Notamacropus eugenii: one gene and its partners. The main gene of each other region encodes a partner of the protein of the gene in region 2 in a complex. Links are inferred from orthologs where the notes say so. Each region holds a gene or a part of one and is shown on either strand. Other genes may lie near its edges.

Region 1 (7,076 bases), about 320 Mb from region 2:
GAGAGGTGGAAAATAACAAGTATTTATTGAGCACTTATATGTGCCAGGAATTGTGTTAAGTGCTCAATATCTTATTTGAAGTTCAGAACAACCCTGTGAGGATTTTTATTATAGATCCTGTGAGACTGCTATTATTTTATCCATTTTACAATTGAGGAAACTGAGGCAAACAGAGGTTGACCCAGGGTCTCACAGTTAGTAAGAGTCTGAGGCAAGATTTGAACTGAAATCTTCCTGATGGCAGCTCAGCACTATCTCCACTGCCCCAATAAGGAATTCAAAGAAGCTTGGGAAGATCTGTGGGAACTGACATCAAGCTATATGAACAGAATCAAAAGAACAAGATACAGTATGTCTACAGCAATGTCACTAAAAAGAAATCAAACTCCCTGTAACTGAAAATCAAATGAAGATCCCAGAGAACAGACAAGGACATGCTGCCCCTTTGTAGGACCAGAAGAACACTACACGTGATTGTAAGAGTATAAAGTCAACACTGAGAGGCTCCCAAATTCTGCTTCATTATATGTTAATGGTTTTTAAGAAAACCTTCAAAAATCAAAACAAAAATGACACCCAAGATTTCCAACATGGGAGCCTGCGAGTGGTGGTGTCCTTGGGGAGCCCATTGTACAGAGCATGAGATAAGTTCAGTTTCAGGCAGGACCAGATCACAGTGGAGATGTCCCCCAGGGCAACTAAAGTTAGGAGGCTGGGACCTGGAGGATCCATCAGGCCTGACCGTGCAGTGTGCATCAGGGTAAGAGTTATAAGTCATAGGAGTAAATGAGATTGCCAAGGAACAGTGTTTAGACTAAGAAAAAGGCCAAGGACAGTACTGCTGGGGAAAAGGTGGCCACAGGAGAGAAGAAACAGCTGCCAGAAGAGCCCCGGGCGGCATCCAGAGTCTCTGAAGTCAACAGGCAGGGCATCCAGAAGAGAATGGACAAGGTGACCAACAGGAGCCAATATTTCAGGAAGGTGAAAAAACAAGACTGAGGACAGTTGGTGACTAGGGAGAAGTGAGACCTGTGAGAAGAAATGGCAGGGGAGGGCATCAGACTGCAAAGAGCCAAAGGGCAAGGTGCAAAATCAAAGGACAGAGGAGAGATTATTTCCAGCATGACTAGATGGTACAGAGAGGTCTCCTTAAGGTCCTGGGCATATTATACATATATCGACTCTAAGTTTTAAACCTAAAATTTTCAGATAGATATTTGTCGACCATGGCACTACTCTTCTGTTACTTATCTCTTGCACTGTTATTTAAATTAGACGTAGATCATCTAATAATGTACAGTATATTATCTGTGACACGTTAATACATAATATTCTGTACGTTTAATGCAACATATAAATGACGCGTATACACATTCATAAACACACGTATAAAATCTCCCCATTTAAGTAAGTTTCCCCATTCCAGGGGGCTGAATGCCCTCCTGGGCAGCCCACCCATGGTGAACACTCAGGCAGTTTTAGGTACAGAAACCTAGCTACGACATCCCACGTCTAGGGTGTTTGCCAGAATCAATCAAGGATTTACAGCGCACTGACGAAGCTGGCCCGGCCTGGAAGGCTCGGCTCCGGCCCATTCCGCTGGGGGCTAGGCCAGTCACTTCACCTCTGCAGAAGATGCCATCTACCTAAGCGGACGGGATTTTCTCCCGGGAGTCCCCAGCCCAGCCCAGCCCAGCCCGGCCCAGCCCGGCCCAGCCCGGCCCGGCCCGGCCCGGCCCAGCTCCAGGAGGAGCCCTCGCACTCCGGGATAACGCTCCAAACGCCTTAGAAAGGCCCAGGACAGAAGCGCTCACGCTGAACAAAGGTGTCAGGTTTCCCAGCCCCGGAGCCAACGGGTGACGAGGGGCGGGGCGGGGCGGGGCGGGGGGGGGGGCAGCCAGCTCCAGGCCCCCCCCAGAAGCCCCCACCCCCATCACCAAGCCCACGCAGACCTCACCTCTCGGGAGCCCTCCCCTCTCCGGCTCTGGGAGATGGGCAGACGGGAGACCCCATTTTACAGCCGAGGAAACTGAGGCCCGGGCCTCCCGGGCAGGAATGCGCGGGATTTGCCTTCGGGGCCCCCTCGGTCCACCCGCGCAGGTCCGGGGAGCCTCGATGAGATCTAACAATAACAGCCGCCGCTTAAAGCGCCTACAAATATGTCCCACGGAACCCTCACATCACTCGGGAAAGTGGGGGAAACGGAGGCCGGCAGCCTGGGGGACACCTGCCCACGGTCACGGACCAGGCGAGGCCGGAGCGGGATTGGAACTCGAGCCTCCCTCAAAGGTGAGCAAACCCACGGGAGCACCCCGCGCTGAGGAGCGTTATGCCCTTGGACCCCCTCGGGACTCAGTTTTCCCATCTGTAAAGGGGAAGGTGGGACTCGGCGGGAGCCGGCGGAGCTCGAGACAAATCCCAAGAGCGCCTGCCCTCGGGGAGCTTACCTTCTGGGGGGGGGAAGGGGAGGGGTCACAGGGCCGAGCACAGGCACGCTCGCGGAGACACACAAACACCGGGACCGCCCGCCCCCAGCCCCGCCTCCCGGAGGAGGGGGAGGGGCGCCGCCGCGCACGCGCACGCGCACACGCCCGCCCTCCCCCTCCGCCCGGACAATGGCTCCCGCGGGAGGGCGCGCGCGCGCCCAGGAGCAGGAGCACGCGCCGCCGCCCCGCGCACGCGCGGAAGCCAGAGCAACAGCACGCGTCACCGGGCTCCCCTCCTTCCTTCCCCCCACCCCCGCACACGCACCCCTCCTCTCCCCCCCGCCTCCTCGCGACCCCCGGGCCCCGGACTCCCTCGCACTGTCCCCTCAGAGGGTACTCACCCTTGGATGAGTGCGAGGCCAGAACCCCGCGGCCGGAGCACGGCAGACGCAGGGCGGAGAGGCTACTTAGACCACGCCCCGCCACGAGGCTCCCAGCTCGGCGCGGCGCCCGACGGGAAACGAACTGCGCGGCTCGGCTCGGCCCGGCCCGGCCCGGCCCAGCCCGCTCCGGACGTCACGCGCGCGGAAGGGCGCGCGCTCGGCGGCGGCGGCGTCGGCGGCGGCGCTCGGGCCCCCAGGGGGCGGGGCCGGGCCGGGAGCAGGCGCGAGGAGCGGGGGTGGGGAGCGAGGGTGGGGGAGAGCAGAGCTGTGAGAGCGCTAGCGGTGCCCGGCAGGGGGCGCTGCAGCCCCAGGCCGGGCTCCGTTTGGGCTCGGAGGCCGGAAGTCCACCGCAGCGTGTGTGTTTTAAGCGCCTGCTGTATGCGGGGCTCAAAGGAAGGCGAGGGCTCTGCCCTCTGGGAGCTCGCGGTACAATGGATGAAGCCTTTATTGAGCGCCTACTGTGTACCGGGCACCGCGCCTGGCGCTTCCCCTAAGGCGCCCCGGCTGGACACAGACGAGGGAATCTTCCTCTTGGGACGGGGCCAGGCGCCTCGGAGGAGGTGGATCCTCCCCCTGCCACCCCCAGACCCGCAGCCCCCCGAGCCCTCGGGGAAACACCAGCCCCCCATTCCAAGGGGGAGCTGATGGCACGCGTCCCGAAATGAAGGAAAACCGGTGAAAACCGCTGGGCCGGTCTAGACGGGCCCGTACACGCCGGAGGGCGAGAACGTGGCAAAGCGCCCTCCGCGGCCGCCCGGTGCCGATGACCAGGCCCGCGAGGCCCCGCCGTGCCCGGACAGCCGGGGCCTCGCCCCATCTCCTCCGCCTGCCCTAGGGCCCGGCCGCGCCCTGCGCTCGGGGCCCCTTCCCCCGTCCGAGCCCGCCCCGGCGTCTCGGTCGGGAAGCAGCCGCCGCGGGCCTCGTCCTGCCGGACACCGGCACCTTCATCCGCCGCTTCTTAGGCGAAGCCTCGCAGCCGCCCGTGACAGGCCCCTCCCGCCCGGGCCCCCGTAGCGGGCATCAGAAGGCTGCCCACCCCGAATGCCACGAGATGAGCATTCTGTTTGGTTCAGTCTTGGAAAGTGCAGACAGGAAAAGGCTGTTCTAAAGACAGACGGAAATGGCAGCGGTGCGCCCCGAGGAGCTGGAAAAGCCTGCAGGTCAGATTTGGACCCTCAACCTCCAAGCCAGAGGGGGGAACCTGCAGCCTTGAGGCCTTCTGGGGCCTTCGGAGGAGGCCAACCTTTACAGGACACATCCTTTGGTTAAGGGGATTTGTTCCGGGAAGTCTGGATTCGGCCACAGGACTCGAGGACCTAGAGGGCCTCCTGTGGGTCTCCAGCCCTGCTCCGGCTCCTTCCGGGGCCCGGGATGGCTGATGCAAAGGTCCAGGCGGCTGGACACTTTAGTTCCCTCAGTGGAAAAAGATGACTCACCAGTCAATTTGGTTATCCCTAATTCCATCCAACCCCAGCTCTTCCCTTCCCTTTGCCAAGGAACCCTCTGGTCTTAATTTGGTTAAATAGCCTCTTTTCCCTCCTGTTCCCCCCCGCCCCCAAGAAAATGAGGCGTGGAGTGACTCAGGGAGAAGGTGGTTTATATACTAAGGTTTCACAGGATTTACAGCTGTGTATGACACACAAGGCACTGGAGGCTTAGAGCAGAAATGGTCAAATTAAGTACCGGAGCTGGGACTCAAACCAGGTCACGACTCCAAATCTAGTGCTCTTGTATTATACTACAGCTGAATAAATGAAAAAGCATATATTGTTATACAACACACGTTGGCTTAGCTAGGGAAGAAAGAGAAAGGAAAAAGAAAGGGAAAGAGAAAAAAGATGAGGAAGGAAAGGATGGAAAAGAGACAGCCAGATCCTGCTCTCAATTAGGAAAGTCACTAAAAATGTCAGCTGAAAAATGGGTGGCTAGGCCTCTAGTCCCTGGGGACAGCAGGTCAAATGGGACAGCCCTGGGAGTCTGGAGGATGAAGGTGCAGACTGGATGGTGAGGTCTGGTAGACCAGAGCCAGATGGAAAGGCCGAGCTGGGGATTCAAGATCTCATTGTGGTTTGGTTCCAAGCCCTCGGGCTGGGTAAGAATGGCACAGAGAAAGCCGGGGGTTCAGTGACGTCGTTTATCCCTATTTGCTCAGTAATAATGCCTATGCTTTGCACACATCAGGGTCTTCAGCTTTTGCTGAATTTTAATTTTCCTGTACTCAGTCAGATCAGACCTTTTATGTCCAAAAATAACAGGCTGGGCTGCCGTGCAGGCAACATACTTTAAACTGAGGGGGCTGCTTCTGCCTCAGGTTAGCTGACCTTGGTTGACCCCTTGACCAGCTCCCTTCAGCTCCAGATTCAACATGACTTGGCGCTGTTGATTCTTACTGGCAAAAGGCAGTTGTCTCTCTTTAATTTTTCAGAATGTCAAGCACAAAAGTATTAGTTTTATCAATATACATATTTATTGATTCTTTTAAGTCAGGAAGAGGGGTGGAAAATGCAGAAATCACCCTAAAAACCATTTGCTGCTAGACAAATTGCTTTCCAAAATACTTGATGTTTGGGGGGGGTGGCAGCTCTTTTGATGCCCAGTGAAGGCCAAGAATAGGGTGACTAAAGAAAGCTACAGCCTCTAAACCAAATGAAATAACATGTAAAGCCCTAAAGACATTTTAGCTGTTATTAATGGTCTTTACATTAATTAACCAAAGAACCAACCTCCTGGTGTTGAACTACTGCTTGGGTGGGCTGCTCTAAAATGGTTTCATGGCCACCATGTCTGGGCTCAGAACTTTTCCAGCTTAGACAACCCTTTCGGCATTCAGGCTTAGTTAATATAGCCTCTGAGGAGGTTCCAACCAAGAAGTTCCCTCGTTTCCCATTACACACATCAGAACATTGACTGGTCAAATAACGGGAGTGGAAAGGCATGATCATCCACAACCCATTATTTAGCCCAGAATATTTAAAACACTATAAATTCTTAAGCTTAAAATATCAATTTTTCTTCCAGCAGAATACTTTCTAAGTGTAAGTAAATGATGTAATTTCCCAGAACTGTTCCCTGTGCTTTCATATCTCTGCTCTGAACAGTGTGATGACAGATAAAATCAAGTTTATTCTAAATTGATACAAAAGATGCAGCTGAATATTAACTTTAAAAGCGCAGGTTAGGAAAAGGCCAAAGGCTTATTTCACAACTAACCCATCACCCACAGGGTCTAGCGTTAGAGGCTTTCCTGTAAGATAGCACAGAGTGGGCTACTTTGTGTTAATCTTCACTCTTCCAGACTTATCACAAAATCCACATTTGTAAGGAGCCTCAGAGGTTTATTTGAGAGATATTTCTGTGAAGAAAAACTTACTGCAAACAGAAGTTAAAAGATAAAATTTATTAAGTACATTACATTTTTTAGAATTTGAAGAAAACTTTGCAAGTACATTGAAATAGAACACAAGTACAGAGGGGCTACAACAGAACCTTAAAGACACCGAAATACAAGGTGATCTTTCTCAATGCTGAGGCACCCCGGAACTCCAAACTGACAATAAAAACGGCCATCACTGCTCCGGACTCCCGGCGAGGCTGCACTTGTGTCCAATCGGATAACTTGTTTTTACCAGTTAACCCCTAAAAAAGGATTAGCTCAACAGTTTTTAATTTTCCATAAATAAATTGGCAAAAAGTAACAGCTTTCAAGAAAGATGAAAAGAAAATCCTAGTGAAGGATGGTGCTAACGTATAGTGAGATGGCAAAAAGAAAATTAGTGGATGTAATTTCTTGATATGCAAGTATAACCTCATGTATTTCAAATGAAATTTTATCAGATTAGGAGGTTATCTCAATGTTGTAATAAGCACCTTGGTCTGAAGACAGAAGAGAAATAAAACCACCCATGACATTCTGCCAAGCAATTGTTAGAGTACTGCTTAATACGCAATCGAAGGAATCCCTGGAACTAAGATGCGACCAATTAATATATTTGAAAGCTATGGAAAACGCAGGAACCAAAGAGAAATCAATCATAAGCCTTAGGCCACAGCAGCTTCAGAGAAGTAAATTATCACTATTTAAAGTGTTCTCATTTTCTCCCATTTTGCCTAGTATTCACTACACAAATTAAAAGGTGGGGAACCTTGTTTGCACTACAGGAAACAAATATGATATTTACCTAAAGCAATTATTGTGTAGCTTAAGAGT
Region 2 (7,476 bases):
GGGTTCAAATCTGACCTACCAAATGGAAGGTGTACGTCCATCCTGGAGCAGCCCAAAACAAATAAGTAACACAAATAGCTAGCTTTCCCTCCTTTCAGGAGTATCACCATCACCATTAGTATCTCATTATCTTTGGTACACCTATGTTAGCCTCCCCTGGCTGATAGTGCCTACTGAGCTCACAGCAATCACCTAGGTCCCGCAATGCTTCCATGTAGTTTATGTCTCCAATGTCTTTTTTCATTTGCCATTGTGAAGTAGCACATAATCCCAGAGATGCCTGGAGTAGGGGCAAATAAGAAGGAGAGGGGGAATGAGGATATTCTCAAATTGTTTAAAATCTAGCTGAGAGGATAAATGCTGCCTTCTCTTTGTCTTCATCTGCCCCAGGGAACTGATGGTACTGTAATAGTAAGCACCCCAACATACACAGGGGGACCTGCTATCACAGGTTCTTAGATCAGCATTTATAAAAGGAAAGGCAACTTTTGAGGGGTTAAAAATCACTTTAATCAAGCACATGTATCATTCAGTTAGTTCAGGGGAAAAGTCAGCACCCTGAACTTCAGAGAAAATACAGAGAAATCAAAGATAACAGACATGGCTTCCTCTGTCTGTCCATAATCAATACACACATTACTATTCTACAAACAGGTCCAACTGTCTGACCATAGTTATGTGTGTGTTCGTCCTTCATTGCCAAAGAAAACCATAGTTACCAGAGAAGGAAGCACCAACATCTGGGTTTTCCAAGCCAGGGGGCTTCTTAGTGGCTTCCGAGAGTCCTCCTCTGGCCAAACAAACACTTCCAGTAGGTAAGCCCCAAAGTAAAAGCTCACCCTCGGAGCAGTTATACACTTCTCAGAACCAGAGGGCATGACCCTCTGACCCAGTGCCTCAACAGAAAAAACAAAAGGTACTTGGGACCCTCCTACAAATCAGCTTAAGTTTCCCTCAATGGGCAGACCTATCAATGTGTGAGGAAGATATTCTTTAATCACATTTTTCAATCAGAAGCACTTTTAGCAAAACAAAAACAGCAAAAGATTCTACTGCTTGGCCTTACAGGTAACTACTCTGTAAGTCCAAGCACTGACTGCCTAGCAAACAATCCAAAGGAGAAGGTGGCACAATGGTCAGAATGCTGGACCTAGAGTCAGGGAGACCCAAGTTCAAATCTGACCTTAGTGACTAGTTGTGTGATCCTGAGCAAGTCACTTAATCTTTGCTTGCCTCAGTTTCCTCAACTGTGCAATGGGGATAACAGCAGCACTTATCTCCAAGGGTGGTTGTGATGATCAAATGAGATATTTATAAAGCTCTTAGCAAACTGCCTGGCCCACAGTAGGTGTGCTACTATGCTTCTTTTCCTTCCTTTCTCTTGGCATGGCATACTGGTCCACTTTAATTTTCTTGTTCAATGACCAGTACTTTACATTTATTCGTATTTTCCTATTCTTCTCCTGTACTGCTTTAGGTAAAGCATATGGACTGCTAGACTTTCTAATGGTAACACTGCACAACAACTGCTGTCCCTTTCCTTCCCTCCCCAACAACTAATTCTTCCTTGAATAGCTAAACACATTACAGACACTATTTCCCAGAATTTCCTGCTATTTCACAGCCAGTGAGTGTCAAATGTCTGAGGTGACATTTGAACTCAGGTCCTCCTGACTCCTGCACTGGTGCTCTATCCACTGCACCACCTAGCTGCCCCAGTTAGTATAGTACTTGAACAGGTAAAAGCACTTGATGAATGTTTCTTGACAGATTGCTCTACAAGACTGATATCCTTTTCTGACTTCCTCCATGATGTTTTTTATGCTACTTCCTGTATACAAGTCATCTTTGGTAATTAACATAAGCCATCTTAATCATCAGGTCGGCTACATCTTTCTTCATTTTCCTTTGAGGGGTCTATCAGTTTGATTTTTTCTGTGATTTCTGTGTTCCAGAATTGACTGCCATATGGCACTGAGAGGAGAATATATATATTTTTTAATTAATTAATTTATTTAATTTTTAACATTCATTTTCACAAAATTTTGGGTTACAAATTTTCTCCCCTTTTGTCCCCTCCCCCCCCAAACCCAAGCATTCTAATTGCCCCTGTGACCAATCTACTCTTTCTTCTATCATCCCTCTCTGCCCTTGTCTCCATCTTCTCTTTTGTCCTGTAGGGCCAGATAGCTTTCTTTACCCCTTTACCTGTATTTCTTATTTCCTAGTGGTAAGAACATTACAGTTGATCCTAACACTTTGAGTTCCAACTTCTTTACCTCCCTCCCTCTCCACCCCTTCCCTTTGGAAGGCAAGCAATTCAATATAGGCCAAATCTGTGTAGTTTTGCAAATGATTTCCATACTAGTTGTGTTGTATAGGACTAACTATATTTCCCTCCATCCTATCCTGTCCCCCATTACTTCTATTCTCTTTTGATCCTATCCCTCCCCATGAGTGTCGACCTCGAATTGCATTCTTCTCCCCATGCCCTCCCTTCTATCATCCCCCCCACCCTGCTTGTCCCCTTGTCCCCCACTTTCCTGTATTGTGAGATAGGTTTTCCTACCAAAATGAGTGTGCATTTTATTCTTTCCTTTAGTGGAATGTGATGAGAGTAGACTTCATGTTTTTCTCTCACCTCTCCTCTTTATCCCTCCACTAATGAGTCTTTTGCTTGTGAGAGGAGAATATTGTTAAAAAAGAATGGATCAGCTCTTAGTAAACATCTAATTAAGGAAGAACTACTATACACGGAGAGCCATAAACTTGACTCAGTATGTATGTACAATAGAAAAAAAAAATTTTTTAAGGGAGTGAATAAATTAGTGACATAAAGAGCTAGTCTGAATGCCATAGCGTCAAGAATCCTAAATTTTAGTCAAGAAGACTTGGGTTCTAATCCTGTATCTGACATCTGTGACCTGGGACGTTCTCCTCTTTCAGCTTCAATTCCCTTATTTATAAAATGATTTCCTTGAGTCAGGTGATGCCTTTCCAGCTCTAAATTCTCTGAACTATAAATAACTAATTAAAATTGGGAGAGCCCTATCTTTAGGGATTCCAAGGAGGGCAATTACTTTCTCCCACATCCCAACCCTTTTAAGGCTTCTATTAGTAATCAGAACACTGGTAACCCCCAATTGTTGATCATTTTAAGGACCAACTATTTCCAATGGGAAAGATGATATATTTATTATCCTTGGTTTAGAGACGAAACCACCGAGGTCCGGAGAGGGTAAATAAATGACCCAGGACTACAGAAAGTGCGCTTTGGAAGGGACCTAGGAGCCCGCCCAGGTGCGCCCAAGGTCACAAAGCTGTCAGCCAGCAGGACGGAAGCGCTTAGCACAGCTCCTAGCACCCACGAGGCGCTTAACCAACGGAATCCAAGCACACCTGGAGCTCCCCTCAAGGACTTCTAGTTTAGACCTCTGGATTGGACTTTCCTTGGTCTCCCCAGCGTCTCTCTTCCTCTGGAAATTGCGTGAATACATTTTGTACTGCCCTGAGCCCAGGATAACGTAACCTCCTTTCGGAACGGGGCTGCTCCAAACCAAAGTAACCCACGCGTTAAGGGCCTCCTGAGCGCAGGGCGCTGCCCCAAGCACCGGCAACACAAAGAGACAGTCCCGCCGCTCAAGGGGCGGCTTCACCCCAAGGGGAGAGACCACCCGCAAGCGAGGAGGACCAGACGAACCGGAAATAGCCAAGGGAAGGGCGATGAAGATGGATTTAGAAGATTCCACAGAAAGTCTTAACGTAAGATTAGAGAGGGCGGGGAAGGGCCCTGGCGGATGGCAGGACTTTGGCTGAGACTTTAAGAAAGTCAGGGAAGCCACAAGACGGAGACAAGAAAGAGCACACCTGGCACGAGAGACAAGACGTGAATAATAGCCCGGAGTGTGGAGGTGGAATATCCTGTCATCATAGCCTTAGAGCCTGGCACAGCGCTTGCCCGACTCACAGGAGGTGCTTAGTAAATGCGTAGGGGCTGCACGTGGCAAGCGATTTCTGCCCGATCTGTAGGGTGAGCCTCATTAAAAGCACCTGCACACCGGGTAGTCACTCCAGCAGCGCGCCCAAGGCCGCGGAAGTGCGCATGCTCGGCGGAGCAGCGCGGGGAGGGGCCATAGGCGCGCGCGCATTCCTCGCCTGCACACGCCTGCGTGCGCGCGAACGGCTCTGGACTTCCTGGCCCTGGAGGAGGGGGAAGCGGCGAGGTGAGGTGGCCGGCCGCGGGGCCGAGGGGCAGGGGGTGGGGCGCGGGGGCCCGGAGGCGGGGGCAGGAGGGGAGGGAGCTGGCGTTCCCAGGCGAGCCGGCGCGCGGGGGCCCGGGCCGAGGCTGGCGTCAAGGCCGACGTAGAGGAGTGATCGGGGAGGCACGCGTGGTCACGCTGCCGCCGCGCCGGCGGGAGTGAAGCGGAGGGGGGCGGGGCAGATGGGCGCGAGCTAGCGCGTGAGGCCTGGGGGAACGGCGCACGTGACCCCGCTGACCTCCGCCGGCAGCCCCTCCCCTCTGCAGCCTTGCCCCTGCGGCTCCCCCCCGCGGCCTCAGCTTTTCCATCTGCGGAGTGGGGGCGGCCATTCTGCCTGGACCCCGTAGCAGAGCGAGGGAAAAACACCTGTACTGCTCCAATTCTGTGGTCTTTTAAGTTTATGGTAATAACTGTACGATGCGTTATGGTTTGTAAAAATGTTTTACCAGTGATTTCTCATTGGATACAGCAACGCCGGGAGGTGATGAGGAAACTGAGGCAAACAGGTTAAGTGACTTGTCCAGGGTCTCATAGCTAGGACATGTTGGAGGCAGGTTGGCGCTCTGGCTGCTGTGCTACCTGGCTGCTACAGTAGCAATTACTAACCCTTTATTAGAGGGGGTAGATTTCAGGCACCAGGAACCAGATCTTCCCGAGTTCAAATCCAGCCTCAGACACTTAGGAGTTGTGTGACCCTAGGCGAGTCACTTAACCACTGTCTGCCTCAGTTTCCTCATCTGTAAAATGAGCAGGAGAAGGAAATGGTAAACCACTTCACTATCTTTGCCAAGAAAACCCCAAGCAAGGTCATGGAAAGTGTGATGCAACCAAAAGAAATGTGGATTTTAAGGTTTGTGAAGTACTTTTCAGTTTTACGTATATTGTACAACAATATAGCCCTTCTGGGTATGTGGTGCACATGAGGAAACTGAGGCTTGGGAATGGTAAGTGAATTGTCCATGGTCACCCAGCTAGCATGTGTCTTGGGTAGGATATGAACTCATTTCTGGAATTCCAAGTCTGGTGCTCTAGTCACACTTCTCAGGAATCCGGTTGAATTTGATTAAATGTTTCCTTGAACCTGACCATTTTCCTGCCTTTTCATGGCCTCAAGTAGGGCAGAGGTGTCAAACATGCTGCCTGCTAGACTCCTGAATTGCCCGAACCAGATAGTTAACAAAAGTACAGTAAAATATAGATGTTATCATGTACTGTTTAGTGGACCTCTCACTTTTAATTTGACTCCCACTGACAATGGTGGAAAGAGCACTGAATTTGATATTAGAGGACTAGGGTTTGAATCTCAGTTCTGCTCACTGTCTATGACCTTTCCCACTTTTGGAGGGGCTTGATCTTGTGATTTGTGGCTTGAGGAGTTGGAGTTAGAGGATGCCCTCTAAAGTCCCTTCCAGCTGAATCCTGTGCTCTCCTGTGGAGTTGTTACGTCATGTCTCTGGTCCTTCATGAGTAAGAGTCCCTCTGATATCTGGCCACCTGGGGTGATGGAGAGCTGCTGCCTCTCTGATTTCTCTGCTGCAGTAGTTAACACATCTTACTCTGCTCATCCCTTGATCTGAGGTCCTTTACCTTTCTTGTGTTCTGGAATCCTTTTGCAGAATTTGGTGAAGTCTTCTCAGAATCATGTTTTTAAATGCACAAAATAAGTTACATAGGATTACAAAGGAAACCAATGATATTGGAATACAATTTATCAATTAAAAAATAAAGCTCCAGACTCCAGGTTAAGAACTCTGGATATAGAAGGAGCAGAATCCAAACCAGATAGTTCTCCATTTAGTTGTTGGGTTGGTTGATAATCAGTCAATCAGTTTGTGCACATATTTACTTTTGAAGACCCACCCCTCCTGGAAATCGATTAAATCAGTTCAATCAATATACGTAATTACATGCCTGTGCCACAGATGCATGTATTACATGCTTCCTATGTTAGGAGGTGAAGATATAAGGCTAAAAAACAAACAAACAAAAATTTTTGCCCTCAAGGATATTACATTCTATTGTAGACATTTACACAGATAAGTAAATACTCTTAATTGGGGGTGGGACAAGGAGCAGTGACCAATGAAATAAGGAGAATGAGGAAAGGTTTCATGTAGACGGGTACCCTGAGCTGAATCTTGAAGGAAGCACAAGATCTAAGTGTGGGAGGTAGGAAATAAATACATTCCAAGAGAAAGGGTTACAGCCTAGGTAAAGACTCAGAGGTGGGAGATGATTAGTACATGGCTAGTCCTATAAAGAGGATATAAGCTAGTCTGGCTGGAATAGAGGGTGTATGAAGGAGTACAATGTGATCAAAATATGAAAGAGCAGACTGGGACCCATGTTGTTCGATTCTGGAGAGAAGTTTGCATCTCTCTTCTCCTTTTCTCTGATGGATTGCTCCCCAATTAGTTCTTTTTCGGTGGAATTATATGGGTGTTGTCTGTATTTACTGGTGAATAATTCCCTTCCACTGAGAAAACATCAGGGTCAACCAAATGATTCTTGGAGTCTAAAAGCCAGTCCACTGTCAGTGGAAGGTAATGTCTGGCTTTTGCTTCCATTTTCACCTTCAAAGAACCAAGGTGATAACAGCTCACACTTACCTAGCATTTTACAGAATGAGTTTTTCTCAGAACAACCCAGTGAGTCTAGTGAAAACAATTATTACTCCCATTGATAGGTGCTGAAACTGAGGCTGAGAGAGATGTCAATCAAATCAACTAACATTTATTAGGGCAGTTAGGCAATGCAGTAGATAAAACATTGGCCTTGGAATCAGGAAGACTATCCTCATGGGTTTAAATCTGGCCTCAGATACCTGTGTGACCCTAGGCAAGTTACTTAATCCTGTTTGCTTCAGGTTCCTCATCTATAAAATGAGCTAGAAAAGGAAATGGCAAACCATTTCCAGTATCTGTGCCAAGAAAACCTCAAAAGGGGTCACAAAGAGTCAGAAATGACTAAACAACATTTATTAAGCACCTGCTCTATGTCAGGTACTAGGTGCTCAGAATACAAAACCAAAAATCATATAGTTCTTATACTAAAGGATTTGTATTCTATCAGGGAGACAATGTGACCAGATATAAGTACACGTAAAATAAATACAGTGACTTGCTAATATTCATTGGCAGAACTGGAACTGGAGCCTAGGTCTTCTGGTTCTTTAAGTCCTGTGCTCATTCCATTTCCCTCCAGCACTTTGTCATCC
Region 3 (7,201 bases), on a different chromosome or scaffold from region 2:
TCCTGTGAGACTATGTAATTTTTAAGAAATCTCATTCTTGGAACAACCAGCTTTGGTCATTTTATCAACCATTATGGAACCTTGAAAAACCTCTTACCTCTCCCCTTCCCTCCCTCCAATTTTCCCTTTTTCCAGTTCTGAAACAATCAAATCAATGCTGCCGTTGATACTGAAAAAGGTGTATCCATGAAGGTTCCATTTACTATCCGAATGCCCTTCTAAATTACAAAACCCTGTTCCCCTCCAGTCATTCAGTTCCCAGTTTATGTTGTCACCTCATTAAAAAGAAAGCTCCCTGAAAGCAAAGAGTGTTTTAGCAACCCTTTTCATATTCCCAAGGCTAAGCACAATGCTTGGCACAGTTAGGTGCTTAATAAAACATTGTAAAAATTCATTCATTTATTAAAGTGGAATACAGAAGTCAAAAGGGGAAGGAAAGTCAACGCTTTAAGTCTCCAAGGAAAAATTCTGAACATTGGCCCCAACCCGTCCGGGGACAAAGTCTAAACCAGGTCTCCCTACCCTGAGTGAAATGCCAAATATCTTCCATTAGCCTGTGACTCTTTATTATACGCCTTAGAAAAACTAGAAGGAACGCTTGATCACTGAGGACCTTTACTTAATCTGGTGCCTACTAAGGTGGCAAGCTTTGGGCATTGCTATAAAAAATTACCATTTTAAACCTTTATACAATTTCCATGCCGCAAAACTCTTATTTAGAAAAGGTCCGTCTAGTTTTAGGAGCCCATTTTCCCTAAGTTTCTCCCTGGAGTAGTTTTAGACTTTTTTTAGGTGGAAGAAAGCGGAAGGAGGGGGGGTATGGAAAACGAAAGATGAGATGAAGGGTGCTATGGAGCTGCAATCACGTGGCCAGAGGGAATCAGAACACTCCACTCTAAATCGAGACAGCGAGAAAGCAAAGCGTGATCGATTTCTCAGCTCACTATTGCTTGCGCCTGGAATGCGAGGTCGGAGGGGGGACTTTCGGCGTTCGAGGGATTAAGCCTGGAGGAGGCCCGGGGACGCGCACGCCGGAAGGGGCTCGCCACCGTCGTGCACGCTCGTCGCCGCAGCCCAGCTCCCCGCCTTCTGGTCGTCCGGTGCTTCGCTCCTGTGGGTAACGGCTGCTTTCGCCGCCTCTCCGCGGCCAGCTGCCCGGGAGGGATGTCGAGGAGCTCCAAGGTGGTGCTGGGCCTCTCTGTGGTGCTCACGGTGGGCACGGTCGCCGGGGTGCATCTTCGGCAGAAGCAGGACCGAGAGGTCAGGACCACGTGATATAGCCCCACTTTCCCCTCCCCCCACTCCCCACCTCCTCCCCTCCTGGGAGGGGCGGAGTTTCCTTGGACGTGCTCCGCACGCGGCCCGCGGGCACTAGGCGACTGCGGCTGCGCGCTCCGAGGCCCCGCCTCCCGGCCCGACCTGGCTCGGGCCCGCCACTTTCACTTCCTCTTCCTTTTCGCGTGGCCTTCGCGTTGCTGCAGCCCTTTTCGTCTGCGCTCTCACCGGTCGAAAGCCCAGCTGCCTTTAGTGGGGTTTTGCCGCCGTGATCGTGACAGTGGTAATGCTGCTGTGTTCTCCGTTTACCCACCTACAAAATGGGGCGAGTCTTAGTGTTAATACTCCGGGGGTTTGGTGTGGAGAATGGGTCGGTAAAGCCCCAAACGCTGTACAAACGTGAGTCCTTTCACACGTGTTTGTCTCTTTTGCCCTTCTTAGGCTATAAGCTCCGTAAACCCAGGGTACCCTTGTGGATAGAGCTCTGGACCTGGAATCAGGAAGACCCGAATTCCAATTCGGTCTCTCACACTTACTAGCCTTGCGGGTCGCTTCACCTCGGTCCGCCCCCGTCTTTATCTGTAAAATGGGGTAATAATAGCACCTATCTCTCGGGGTGTCTTGTGAGATGCTTATGAATGAGATGAGTAGTTGTAGAGTGTTCTGTAAACCTTGTGAAGCGTTAACGTTAATGCCAGCTGCTACAATTAATTGTAACAAAGTACATAATGTGTTCCATAACTGTTACCAATTTATTGTTACTATGTTGTTTTAGCTCATTGGAGCTGTGACCAGGCATGCTAGACAGGAAGATCTGAGTTGGAATCTTGTTTCACACACTTATAACATTGAGCAAGTCACTTAAATTCAGTTAGCCTCAGTTTCCTCATCTGTAAAATGGAGATAATAATAGCTTCTACCTCACCAGGTTGTGAGGATCAAATAAGATATAAAATATGTAAAGATATTTACAAACTTTATTGTGCCATTTGGGCTAGCTATTTTATCACTTGCCCCAGGGTTACACAGCTAGTAAGCATCTGAAGCCAGATGGGCACTCCAGTCTTCCTGACTCCAGACCTGGCGCTCTATCCATTGTGCTACCTACCTGCACTCCATGCAAATTTATCAAGCTTAAATTTGTTTCCTTTCAACTTGCATTCTTTGCTTCTCACCAAAAAAGAACAAATCTAATCCCTCTTCCTTGTGAACAGTCCTTACAGTACTTGAAAACTGGTTTCATTTTCCCCTGGGGAGCCTATTTTTTAGACTCCTAGTTCCTTCTGCAAACACTGGAGTGGCATAACCTCAAGACTGTTTAATCTTGTAAAATGTGATGGGCCTAAAGCTTCTAGGACAAAGATAGTCTCTTTTATTTTCCTATAGCTAGTGCTAAGCAATCCAATCTTAAAAGTTTACTAAGCACCTAATTTATAAGGAACTGTACTAATCACTGAAAATACAAAGGCAATGGAAACCAAGCTTTGCCTTAAAGAAGTTAATGTTCTACTGGGGGATTTAGCATTTAAATAGGTATGTGCTAGATAACTTGTGACATCAAGTAATTTTTCCATACATTCTTGATGAATAAATGACTGAAGGAATGCTTACTAACAACCTATTGTCCTTTACTAATCCTCCACACTGCTAGTATCCTTCCCAAATTATTCTTATTTTAACTATTCTGTATTTGTTTGCTTTCTCTATACTTACATTGTATATTTATGTACATATGATATAAACGTGTTTTATACTTATATTTACTGCTTCTAGTACATTACACAAGTATGGGTGTATATACATCTGTAATGATGCATACACACATCATTGTATCCTCTGTTAGAATGTAAATTTTTTGAGAGTAGGCATACATTCTTTGTATCCCTTATGCCTAGCATACTGCTTGGCAAGTCATAGGTGCTGAATAAATGCTTGTTTGATTACATATGAGCAGTTTTCAAGTACTGAAGGTTGTAATTTTTTTTCTTCATTTGATCAACAAAATGATTCCCAGTGATGAATTTTATGGAGTAGTCCAGTACTCTTTGTAAATGTAAGTCACCTTTTGTGGGGAGGTTATTTTTAGTATTCTTTATTTCTTAGATTATTTTTACACCTTCCCTTTTTTCAACAATTTCACCTGAAGTAGATTTTATTATACTTGATACTTGTAACAAATAAAAATTCTTTTTTCCCAGTTATTTATTAATGAGTGAGGATAATTTATGATAACTGAATTCTTGGTACCCAGTTACAGTAATTAAAAGTTGTAGTTAAAGCAGTGTGTTTCCTAATTGTGAAATCTTACTCTGGTTTACACTGGTTTTAAAAAAAAAGCCTAAGTAGCATTATTCTTTACTTTCAGTTCGTTCTTAAGCCTTCAGAAGTTTTCTGGGAATATTATGAAAATGTTTTGTTAAAATATGTGTTAAAATACAAGATTTAAATGGTGTTTATTAAATAATCTGTATTATATTGCATATTTGTAGTTAGGTAAATTAGAACAAACACTACTTGGGTTTGTACTTGGAAGTCTGAAGTGCATCTTGGTGACATTTTTTTTCTTGTATTACTAGTGGGTGGAAATCTGGTGTTCAAGGTGTTACTAAAGTTCCTTCCTTGTGTTTTAGAGGCTTCGAGACGGAGTGTTCAGAGACATAGAGAGGCAAAATCGGAAAAAAGAAAATGTTCATCTTTTGGAAGAACAGATTATTTTGACTAAGCATCTTGAAGCAGAAAGAGAGAAGATGTTATTGGCAAAAGGTTCTCAAAAAACATGAGTTGTGAAGTGAACGAAATATTAATGAAACAGGCTTAGATTGTTTTGGAATTTTTTTTGTTTAGCTATGTCGTGTCATAAGTTAAGTGATTGCTTCCACCCATGTAATTTTTTTTGCCCTTTAAACATTCAAAGAAAAAGACAGTGGGTTATAGCACTTAAGTTTTAAAATTGCTTTAAAAATTCCTGCTATTTAAGTGATTTTAATTGTGATCATTCACTTTTTAAAGACAGCCTCTTTTTATCTGTTATGAACAATATTAACTGGGTAACCATACCCCAGTGTTGTCATTGAAAAAAATAATCTTCCTGGCAAGAAAGGATGGATAACAATGTCCACATTGGTGGGCTGATGAGTCGTCATGATGATGATGCGACGAGAACATCCACTTCAGAAGGTCTGGAGGAAGGTGAAGTGGAAGGGGAAACACTCCTGATTGTTGAATCTGAGGATCAAGGCTCAGTGGATTTATCTCATGATCAGAGTGGAGATTCACTGAATAGTGATGAAGGGGATGTGTCATGGATGGAAGAGCAGCTATCTTATTTCTGTGATAAATGCCAAAAGTGGATATCAGCCAGTAAGGACCTTTTATTTTTTTCTTTCTTTCATTTTCTTTCCTAAAGCTTAGTGGTTTTTTTTTAAAGTAACAATAATTGAAAACTGATTTTATTGACTAAACAGAACTTGAAATTTTCAAGGAGGCTTTCATAGTAATATAAATTCAAGTAATATCTTCTTGTTACTTTTCCATGTTGTTAAAGTAGTTGTTATTGAATCTTTTGGTAACATCACAAATCAAACATCATACCTTACTAAGTAGTTAGCCATATAATCTAATACGGAGATAGGGATTCTTCTGTTGGACTTTAGTATAGTATTGTGTGTTAAATGGATAAAAATTATTCCATTGTAGTGTAATTTAGCTTAAATCAAAATCAATGTCTGACAAATTCAGCAGGGTATATTCTTTGTAGGTCCAGTTTGAGAAGGGGAGTTGTCCTGTGTTTTGCCAAAAGTTATGCAGTGGTTTATCATCTGCTGGAATATTAAAGCAATTTATTCCTGTAGAATCAGATAGAATGATATTTATTAAAAATGGATCTTACCCTTTTTTATGCAAATAACTTCAAACATTTTGGTCCTGAAAACTTGACTTAAATTGCCATTTTTTTCGCCTTTTATCTCTTTCCCGCTAAGTCTGTTGAAGTGTTAGATTAGAATTGTAAAGGTATATAGACGTTTTGAAGAGATGACCACTGGAGTGATAGATTGTTGAAAGTTATATAGAAGTTTTTAGGATAAGACTACTAGAGTGACAGATCATTGAAGGGAGAAGGAGGTTTGTCTCCTTGTCACCCTTTTTTTCGCTTACCACAATTTTCTCCTTGCATAAAATAATGAAAGTTTCAAGGTGAAAGGTTGGCATCATAGAGAACCCTTCTACCACTGGAAGAGTTTAGATGGGCAGCTGTTGTCCTTCAGCTTTGAAGAAGACCAAAATGACATCACCATAATAAAGTGAAATTTCAGTGTGTCCAGCTGTGACTGATCAGACCAATACAATCTCGGAATGTTTTATCACAGGTTGGGCACAGATAGTCCATGTGAATATTTGGGGTAGATATCCCAGATTTGCGCATCTTGCCTTTACTTTGTGCTTTCTCAATTCTGCTTTTGCTCAAAAAGCACAGCACCCTTTATGATGTAAGAGTTTAGATATGATCAAAGATAGGTAGAAAAAATTGAACTGATAAAATATGATAACCTTTTTGCCTGTTATGTTGAAAAACTTAAATAATTGTGTTTGCCTTTTACTTTGTTTTAGATCAGCTGAGGGAACAGCTCAGTTATCTCAAAGGTGATAACTTTTTTAGATTTACTTGCTCAGATTGTTCAGAGGATGGTAAAGAACAATTTGAAAGGCTGAGATTGACATGGCAGCAAGTAAGTAAAAATCTATTATAGAAGGTTGACAATAGTATCTCATGAAAGTTTGGTTCATATTAAAAGAAAACAACAATTTAAATTCTCTCTCCCTATGTGTATGTGTGTGTATATATATATATATATATATATATATATATATATATATATATATATATATATATATATATATATATATATATATATATATATATATATATGCAATACTTCAGCCTTAAAGATCTAGTTCATCCCTACCTTTTAGTGATGTAGACACTCTAGAAAATGGTTAAGTGGCTTGCCTAAGGTATTATAGGCAACAGAAAGAAGCATAAATAATCTGCCCGTCAAAGCTAGACTTATACCTTTTCTGGAGGTTGAAATAGCAACTAACTGTTTTAACAACAGCACCTCACCTCTCCTTTTGTTCTAGCTTTTGCTGATGTGATAGCACAGAGGAGAGGCAAAGTGGTATAGTAGAAAAAATACCGCTTTGAATTTGGAGAAGACCCTGAGCTGAAACTATTAGATTGTGTACTCTGGGGGCATTTTGGCCCACATAACTAGCTGAAAGTTATAATGGAAATTTTTTTTCCCTCCTTTCTATTAAAGTCTCAGCAGCATACCTTTGGTATCTGATTTATTTGGGTAGTTGCAGTAACTCCTAACTGCAAAAAAACTCTTGTTTTTTGAAGTGGTTCAAGACATCTATTTTCTTTTGATTGTTCTTTCCTGTTACACACTTGGATTTGAGCCACTGGCTTGCAGCATATGTGAAATGATGATGAAGTTTATCCATTCTCTGAGTGTGCTGCTTTGCCCTTCCTGCAGCTCTCAGCTCCTGTTCTAGGAACTGAGTTAAGTAACCTCCAGATGCCCTCCAGACTTGCAGTGTTCTACTGTAGATGGTAGGTGTGTGGTGGTCTTACCGGTAGGAAGGGATGGTGTCAGCAGGGGTGGAACCTTCTCTGTTTAAGGTGCCATCTTGCCAAGACGAATGACTGGTGTCTGATCACATGCTGCAGCCTTTAAACTGTTTCTTTAATAATGCCCATACATCTGAGTTATGAGTCTTTTAAGAACTTCTCTGGTCACTGTTCTCCTTACATATGGGTGAGAAACCGTTTTCAGACATTTGTGCCATCATCAGGCTTATGCTTTGTCTATAGATGCCATTAACCTGTATAGGATGTAAATAGATAAGTAGTAGGTAGAAAATT
Region 4 (7,379 bases), about 110 Mb from region 2:
TTTTGTAATGAATTGTGACTTCACACAAAATACTAAATGTGTTTTCTCTCAACTTGATATAAAACAACTTTTCAAAATAAAGCATACAGCTGATATCATAAACTTTTTCTCACATTAGCTACTTTACAGATCTATTCAGATTAATTGTAATCCTTCCTTCTTTATCTTTTTATTTCTAATGACTGAATAATGATGATTTGCTGAATCCACCCTTACAGTGGATTCCCACTTAAGAGTGCTCCCACTCTTAAGAAAGTGGCAAGCAAAATGTCCAGAGGCAAAAGTCTAATCTAGTTTGTTAAAGAACCCACCACTAAAAGTCTAAATTCTTCGGCAACCTAAAACCACAAGACTTGTGCAGCTTCCTCATCTGTGTAAATGGTGTTAACTGAAACAAATACTTACAACAAAGTAGGCACCATATCCACATCTATATTTTCATCTGCAATTTGCCCATACTTGCCAACCCTAAGTTTCCAAAATGTAGAGACATTCTTTCTCTGCAAAAACACTAAGAACACATCTTTTAACAATTTTTAAAAAAATACCTGCAGTGAAGGACCTCCCAAATAGTCTATATCATTTCCAATTTCTAGGAGTGGGGAAGGGAAATAGAGATGGTGTTTATAATAAAATGTGATTTTACAATAAATAGAATCAATACCAAAAAGGAACAATTAATTATAGCAGTTCCCATAATGTCATGTAAGCAGCACTGAAAGCAAGAAAATTTGCACACAATCCCTTGCAAGTTACTAAACTTCTCTCTAAGTCTCAATTTTCTTTTACATAAAATAGTCTACCTCAAATAGCCATTATGAGACTCAAATGAGATACTGTTCTCAAAGTAGTATAACTTTCAACTACTATCATAATATTATCACATTATTTGTAAAAATGTTATGTGCTGGACACAGTACCCAGCACTATATAAATGTTCATTCCTTTTCTCCTTCCCCTATTATTGTTGTTTATAAATTAGTAAAATAACTTTTACTAAGGTTCTTAATTCTGGATTCACTGGTTAGTGACAGGTATAACCATAAGTATTCAGAACTGAACATATTCTAATGTTGAACTAATATTGTTTGCTACAACAGCACTTTCAAGCTATTGTGTTAACATTAAAAAAAAAACATAAAAAAAAAAAACCTCTAAAATTGATTAAACTCTATTAAGAAGTTCATTTGCAAATCGTTATTAGATTTTGGAAAGATCATCATTTCAAAGGTGTGAAAAAAATGTTAAAGCAGATTCCTTTAAAGTCTCTTGTATTTTTACATGGCAGTCAATGTTGACAAAGGAACCTTTCCATTTTTATATGAATTGTAAAAAGAAATTGTATTCTGTGGGGGATAATGTTGTATAAGAAAAAATGTTTCAGTAGTTGCACAATACAAAATAGCAATATAAACAAAAGAATATCTTTACCTTTCAAGTTTTGGGCTTAAGTATGAAATCAAAAAAGCTTTTAAAAGAATACACTTTCACCATGAATCTATTAAAGCAGTCAACCTGGTTTACTGGAGTTTGGTCATGTCCCCCCCCTTCACTTACTGAGAAGTCATGGTATATTTTAAACCTACTTTCAACATACCAAAAAGGAACTACAATGGATCATTTAATTATTTTGTCAATATCGACTGTAAAATGTCACCAGTGCAGTAACAGGTACATTTATTAGCATGATACCACACCTGTACAATGCTAGAGTGCAAGTATTTTCCACATCACTGTGATAAGACTATTTCCATATATATAGAAATAGCAACTGTGAAACTCAAAAGGTAAAAGGCAAACTAGAAGCCCGCTTAAAGTTTTGATTAACTGAATTTTTAAGAAGCAATGGAGACACAAATTAGCAAGGTTGAAATTTATATTATGAAATAAGGTCATCATTTCAAATTTAAATACTTTTCAAATACTAAGTGGATAAAAGAAAAATGAAAAAAGTGTCATACTGCCTTCCTTAAGGAGGGCAGTCAGTACTCACTCAGCCCCAAGACCATGGTGATGTACTAAGTCTCCAGAATATCTCCATCTCTTGACACTTGACAGCACCCTGCACATTTTCTACTGCTAACTGCTGAAGTTGTTTCAAAGTGCCGTTCATGAATGGCTGTCTGTGTAACTCCGAGAGAGTGATTCAAGGGGGTGAACAGAAAAAAATTTAACGTAAAAACCCTTGTTATAAGCTACTGGCCACATGCAATACTTTCTCTTTCCAGTTCATAACCTGTCTGTGGGTACGCAAAACTGAGGCAACGAGGGCCAAAGTAACATCCTCTTCGGAAAAGTTATGTCTGCCTCCACAACAGAAATAAAAAACTTTTTTATATTTCTTGAAGTACTCATGTAATAAGGAACTCCACACAGTAGAAGAGACGGTACCTTTGGTTTTCTTTCAAACACCCATCTTAGGCTAAACATTTTTGCTCTCCTAACAAAAAATTTCGAAGGGTGTTCACTTGCTCCCCATCCCAACCCTCCAAACTAAAGACTGTCTGTAAAAATGAAGCCAGAAACCTCGTGTTCCTTTTCCAGTCGGGCTACGATCTAGGTGACTGCCCTGGGGCAGGTGCTGAATCCCCTCATTCACCGTACCCCTCCGAGAGCCCCCTCCTCACGACCCACTATCTCCGCGGGAGGTGTCGCGGGGCACAATCATTAACCATGTCTGTGCCGACGCGCTCGGGGGTGCCCCACACCATGGGCTTCCTCTCCGGAGCGGCACAAAGGAAAGCAGCCGGGGCCGGCTCCCTTCCACGGCCCCAGCGCCCCCCGCTTACCTTGTATGACGTGTTCCGGGGAGATGGTCTTCTTTTCGGATTTGTTGCAAATCTCGTTGGCCTCGGAGGAGACGAGGTGGATGAATTCAGTGCAGCAGTTCACCACCAGTTCCCGGGCATCGTTGGCCACTCGGACATTGGGGAGAGTCTCTTTGATCATCTTATTGATAGCAGCTCTGGGGATAGTGAGATCATCATCGTTGCCAGACGAAGAGGCCATCGTCTCGTCTCGTCTCGCCCTCCCTTCTCTCTCTCCCGGGGTTTAAAAAGTCCCTGGTTCTGGACCACTGGCCCGCAGAGACCAGACAATCTTGCTCACACGAGGACCCGGCCGCCTCTGGGGGCGGCGCGGCCGGGGCACAAGCCCACAAGCCCGGGAGAGGGTGCTGAGTGTGTGAGTGGGTAAGGGGTGACTTGGGATCGTGAACACGGGAGAGAGAGGAGCCCGGCGTGCTCCGGGAAGTGGGGCAGCTCAGAGTCGCCTCCTCAGAGGGGCGGGCGCCGTCCCCCGAACCCTGGTGCGATCCGGGGGCCTGGCCTGGCCGCCGTACCGGGCTGACACCCCAGGCAGGGGGCTCGGCTCTAGAGAGCCCGAGCCGCAGCCGCCGCCTCCGCCGCCGCCACCACCTGCTGCCGCCGCCGGCGCCACCAAACCATTCTTCGGGCACCGGCACCGACGCCGCCGACTCACAGCATGTCGGCCGTGGCGGCCGCCGCTATCGCCGGGAAGAGAACACGGAGCGAAGTCGGGCAGACGAGGAGCCGCAGTGGCGGCCGCCGTGGCCGCTTAGCCCGGATGCAGATCGCGGAAGCCGGAGCGGAGAGAGAGACGGCTTCTCCTGAGGCCGGGGCAAAAGGGTTTGCCAGAAGCTGCTCCCAAGAGCCTTTGCGCGGCCGGAAGCGCCGGCCTCCTCTAAACTCCTACTTCACTTCCGGCGAGGAAGAGCCGCTGCCGCCCTTCCCCCCCACGGGCGTTCGAAAGGGTCCGGAGCGGCAGGCTCCGGCGTCCTCGCGGGCCTCAACGGCCACTTCTCGGCGCAGTTTCCCCAGACCGGTCCCAAACGGCCCCGCGGCCTAGGGGGGACCCCGAGGAGGGCAGGCCGAGCCTGGCCTCCTCGGAGGAAGCCCCTTGGCTGGGGGCGCGGAGGGGGCCGAGCAGAATCGATCTCGAAGCCGAAGGGCAGCGCGCTCCTCGCGGCCCCTCCGCCGAGCCGGATCTCGTGCCCGGCCCCCGCCCCGTCTCTGCCCGGGCCGGGGGAAGGCGGGCTGCTCTGGAAGGAAGCGGAGGAGTTAAAGTGTTAGGAGAGGGGCCAGGCTTTAGGGCTACAAGGGCCGCTGGGGCGTCGTGGGCCGAGAGCCTTTTTATGTGTCAGTTCGAGGGTGAGGGGCGAAAAAATAGCCCTCCCTTTTGGTTCGCCTTTAGCCCTAGGCTCCATCTTCACCCCAAAACTGCATACTTGTGCGACTGGGTATCGGAGAGGAGAGAATGCTGGACCTCCCCAAGGGCCCCTTGGACCTGTGTGTGCCAAACCTCAGTTTATTGAGAGGCCTGGGCTAACGAACGGACTTGTGAGGTCTCCTGCCCCAAATCTGTGATTCAAAGAGCCCCCTTTGGGCCTTGATTTCCATCAGAATGGGGATGGGAGGCTTTTGGATGCCGTGGATAATGGGGGCCTGCTGGAGACGCTGCTGCTTTCACTCTTCCCAGCTGTGTGATCTTGGCAGGGCACTAAGCCTCTGGGTTGTACAAGTATCAGTCGGCATTGATGGAGGGAGTTTCCATGCCAGAAGCCTCCCGTGCTGCTAAAATCCCAAGTCTAGACCCATCTCCAAAATATGGATAATGGGAATTGGGCTACCCACCCCAAGGGGGTTGTTCGCAAAGCACTCTAGAAATGTGAGTTACTGTTTTTCATGGTCTCTGGATAAAGCTATTTTTCTCCATTTTGTGGCATCTGGTTGTTTGTGTTTTTTAATTTAAATTTTGTCAGCAGGTGCTGACGGTGACTAAGGTGGAGTTAACACCCTATGGAGAAATGGTGTGAGAATCGGGGTTGATGGTATAGTCAAGGCCACTCCTCGATATTTGGCTTGCCCGGAGTGCATTTCCAAGGGCACTCTCCCTCTTTGCTTGAATATATCATAGGCGTATCTTAAGCAAATAATACACTGGGGAGACAAAAATGCTGGAAGGGCTAGGTAGAAAGAAGAGTAGGAGCCACCAGGAAGGAATACAGGGGTGAGAGACACTTGTAATATTTATTTAAATGCACATAGTTTTTAATGCTATAAAATTCCACCCTTCGTGGCAGGTAAATATTTATATTGTGATAAATCTTAATGTTACAGTGACAATTCCTGTGGAACGTACGTGCAATTTTCAAACCTTGCTTAGTTCTCACAAATGCCTTATCCTACTTCTTATTCCAGGAAGAGCATGTCATCAAATTCTCCAAAGTTAGTGCTTTTAAAATTTAAAAACTATTCCATACAGTGATTTGTGAGGAAAAGGTCCCCTCATTCAGCAATGATAAAGTATTATTTTAATATCAAAAAGGGTGAATTTCTCTGCTATAGGTTTTTTTTAAAAGCAAGTTGGAGAGAGCCATTCATTAAACCTGATGGGTCTTTCAGTTCATCAGATTGCAAACTGAAATAGTTATCAGATTTTTGTATTGTCTTCTGAAACCACAGGAGTTTTGTTATGGTGAAGCAGTTTGAATATTCTAGCCTTATCCCTAAGGTTGGAGAAAGGTAGTCAGCTGGTTTATGAAGGCTTTGTTGTCATTTACTTATTTTTTACTCTTTATGATTCCTTTTTTAGAGTTTTCTTAGGAAGAACACTGGAGTGGTTTGTCATTCTCCAGCTCATTTTCAGATGAGAAAGCTGAAGAAATAGGGTTAAGTGACTTGCTGAGGGTCACACAGCTAGTAAGTGTCTGAGGCCTCATCTGAACTCAGGTCTTCCTAACTGTAGCTGGGGCACTCCCTCCACTTGGCCACCTAGCTACCAAGGCCTGCTTGGGCGAACTAACTTTTCTTGTAATGAATTAAGCAGAGGGGGAGTGCATTGCATTAGGAAGATAGAACAACAGCCCGGGGTACCCTTCAACCACAATTTCCACACTATACCAAGTACCTTGTGACTTTTACTGCTCAAGAGTACTTTGAAGTTAATCATCCCCAGAACATACTGGGATTAAGTGATGCATAAATTGGCTTGTTTGTCTGTGATGCCAATGACTGTCAGAAGGAAAAAATAAAACGTTTATAAAAGACAAACATTGAGTGTATTTGCCCATTGAGGTGAGCACGCAGGGCTTTTTCCCCCAGTGTCTAGCTGCAGCTCAAATTGGTAGAAACTAATAGCCAGTCAGTCCACTCGTACTAAACAGCCTGACGAATTTGAACCAGTCAGTTCATGGAGCCATCCATTCAGTGACTTAGGGGTGGTCAAATCTGTCTTCAAGAAAAAATGAGGATAACAAATCAATGGAAGAACCTTCCGGGAGAAAAAGATCGTGTAGTCCGAGCTGTGATTATATAATAACCAAAGATTACAGACTTTAGTCTGTAATCAGACTACCAAGTAGTTACTTTATAGAATTAGATAAAATAATAAAATTACTTGGAGGAAAGAAAAGGTCAAGAATCTCAAAGGAAATAATGAAAAAAGGTAGGAATGAGGGGAAGTTAAAGTTACCAGATTGTGAACAGTGTTATAAAGCAGTAATTGTCAAAACTTTTAGCAATGGTTAAGAAACTGATTGGTGGGAAATGAAGAAGTACTCAAGACTGAAATAAACATAATAGTCTAATGTTTAATAAGCCCAAGAGCACAAACAAAAAAGAACACAACCTCTGCCTCAGTTTCCTCAGCTGTAAAATGGGAATAATAATAGCACCTACCTCCTAGGGTTATTGTGAGGACCAAATGAAATATTTTTAAATTAGCACAGTCTCAGACACATAGTAAGTGACAAGAGTTGCTGAGAAAGCTAGAAAGTAATTTAGCAGAAATAAGGTTCAGACCAACTTCCTACTCTGCATACCATAATCTACTACAATTGAGTGCATGATCTAAATATAAAAGATCACATCATTTTCAGAAAATTGAGGATAATATACAGATGTTTCAAGTTTAGGGAAGAAAATTTTAAGGAATAGATATAATTTTAAGAGAATAGGTAATTTTGAATACATAAAAATTAAAAAGTTTTTGTGTAAGCAATTGTCATTAGAATAAGCTGTGAACTGGAAAAAATCTTCGTATCAAATAGATAACAAAATGATGAAAAATTGGGTCAGACAGAAGACACAGAAACCAGAGAAATTCATACAGAAAGTACCATAACAAGGAGACCCACAGAAACTAAAAACTGCCTTAGCAAAAAGTTGATAGTTAGATGGTAGCCAAGGTCCTCACCAGTTTAGAATATAAAATAATTTGCAAGTGTCTGGTAATTGTTTGATTTGTAAGATATGTCAACTAATATGAACAGGCAAATAAAAAAGAAGCTATCAGCCATTTAAAATAATGCTCCAAATCACCAATTATAAGGGAAATGTAAATTTAAACAACTCTGAGGT

What was found.
Region 1: TADA2A (region 2) and YEATS2 share a complex: the UniProt entries of both Homo sapiens proteins name them as parts of the ADA2A-containing complex. The link is inferred for Notamacropus eugenii from reciprocal best matches to the Homo sapiens genes TADA2A and YEATS2.
Region 3: TADA2A (region 2) and KAT14 share a complex: the UniProt entries of both Homo sapiens proteins name them as parts of the ADA2A-containing complex. The link is inferred for Notamacropus eugenii from reciprocal best matches to the Homo sapiens genes TADA2A and KAT14.
Region 4: TADA2A (region 2) and DR1 share a complex: the UniProt entries of both Homo sapiens proteins name them as parts of the ADA2A-containing complex. The link is inferred for Notamacropus eugenii from reciprocal best matches to the Homo sapiens genes TADA2A and DR1.

The regions. Positions count from the first base shown.
Region 1 is NC_092873.1:54,145,524-54,152,599, forward strand, and holds the start of YEATS2 (YEATS domain-containing protein 2), read right to left. Parts: upstream 3,006-7,076; 5' UTR 2,828-3,005; intron 2,551-2,827; exon of another isoform or gene 2,448-2,550; intron 2,290-2,447; exon of another isoform or gene 1,897-2,289; intron 1,760-1,896; exon of another isoform or gene 1,547-1,759; intron 1-1,546. UniProt on the Homo sapiens protein: Chromatin reader component of the ATAC complex, a complex with histone acetyltransferase activity on histones H3 and H4. YEATS2 specifically recognizes and binds histone H3 crotonylated at 'Lys-27' (H3K27cr).
Region 2 is NC_092873.1:376,158,979-376,166,454, forward strand, and holds the start of TADA2A (transcriptional adapter 2-alpha), read left to right. Parts: upstream 1-4,454; 5' UTR 4,455-4,659; coding exon 4,660-4,662; intron 4,663-7,476. UniProt on the Homo sapiens protein: Component of the ATAC complex, a complex with histone acetyltransferase activity on histones H3 and H4. Required for the function of some acidic activation domains, which activate transcription from a distant site. Binds double-stranded DNA.
Region 3 is NC_092872.1:593,124,986-593,132,186, forward strand, and holds the start of KAT14 (cysteine-rich protein 2-binding protein), read left to right. Parts: upstream 1-4,197; 5' UTR 4,198-4,376; coding exon 4,377-4,635; intron 4,636-5,883; coding exon 5,884-6,002; intron 6,003-6,754; exon of another isoform or gene 6,755-6,997; intron 6,998-7,201. Other genes in the region: protein PET117 homolog, mitochondrial, read left to right, coding at 1,165-1,260, 3,906-4,055. UniProt on the Homo sapiens protein: Component of the ATAC complex, a complex with histone acetyltransferase activity on histones H3 and H4. May function as a scaffold for the ATAC complex to promote ATAC complex stability. Has also weak histone acetyltransferase activity toward histone H4.
Region 4 is NC_092873.1:268,273,118-268,280,496, reverse strand, and holds the start of DR1 (protein Dr1), read right to left. Parts: upstream 3,010-7,379; coding exon 2,790-3,009; intron 1-2,789. UniProt on the Homo sapiens protein: The association of the DR1/DRAP1 heterodimer with TBP results in a functional repression of both activated and basal transcription of class II genes.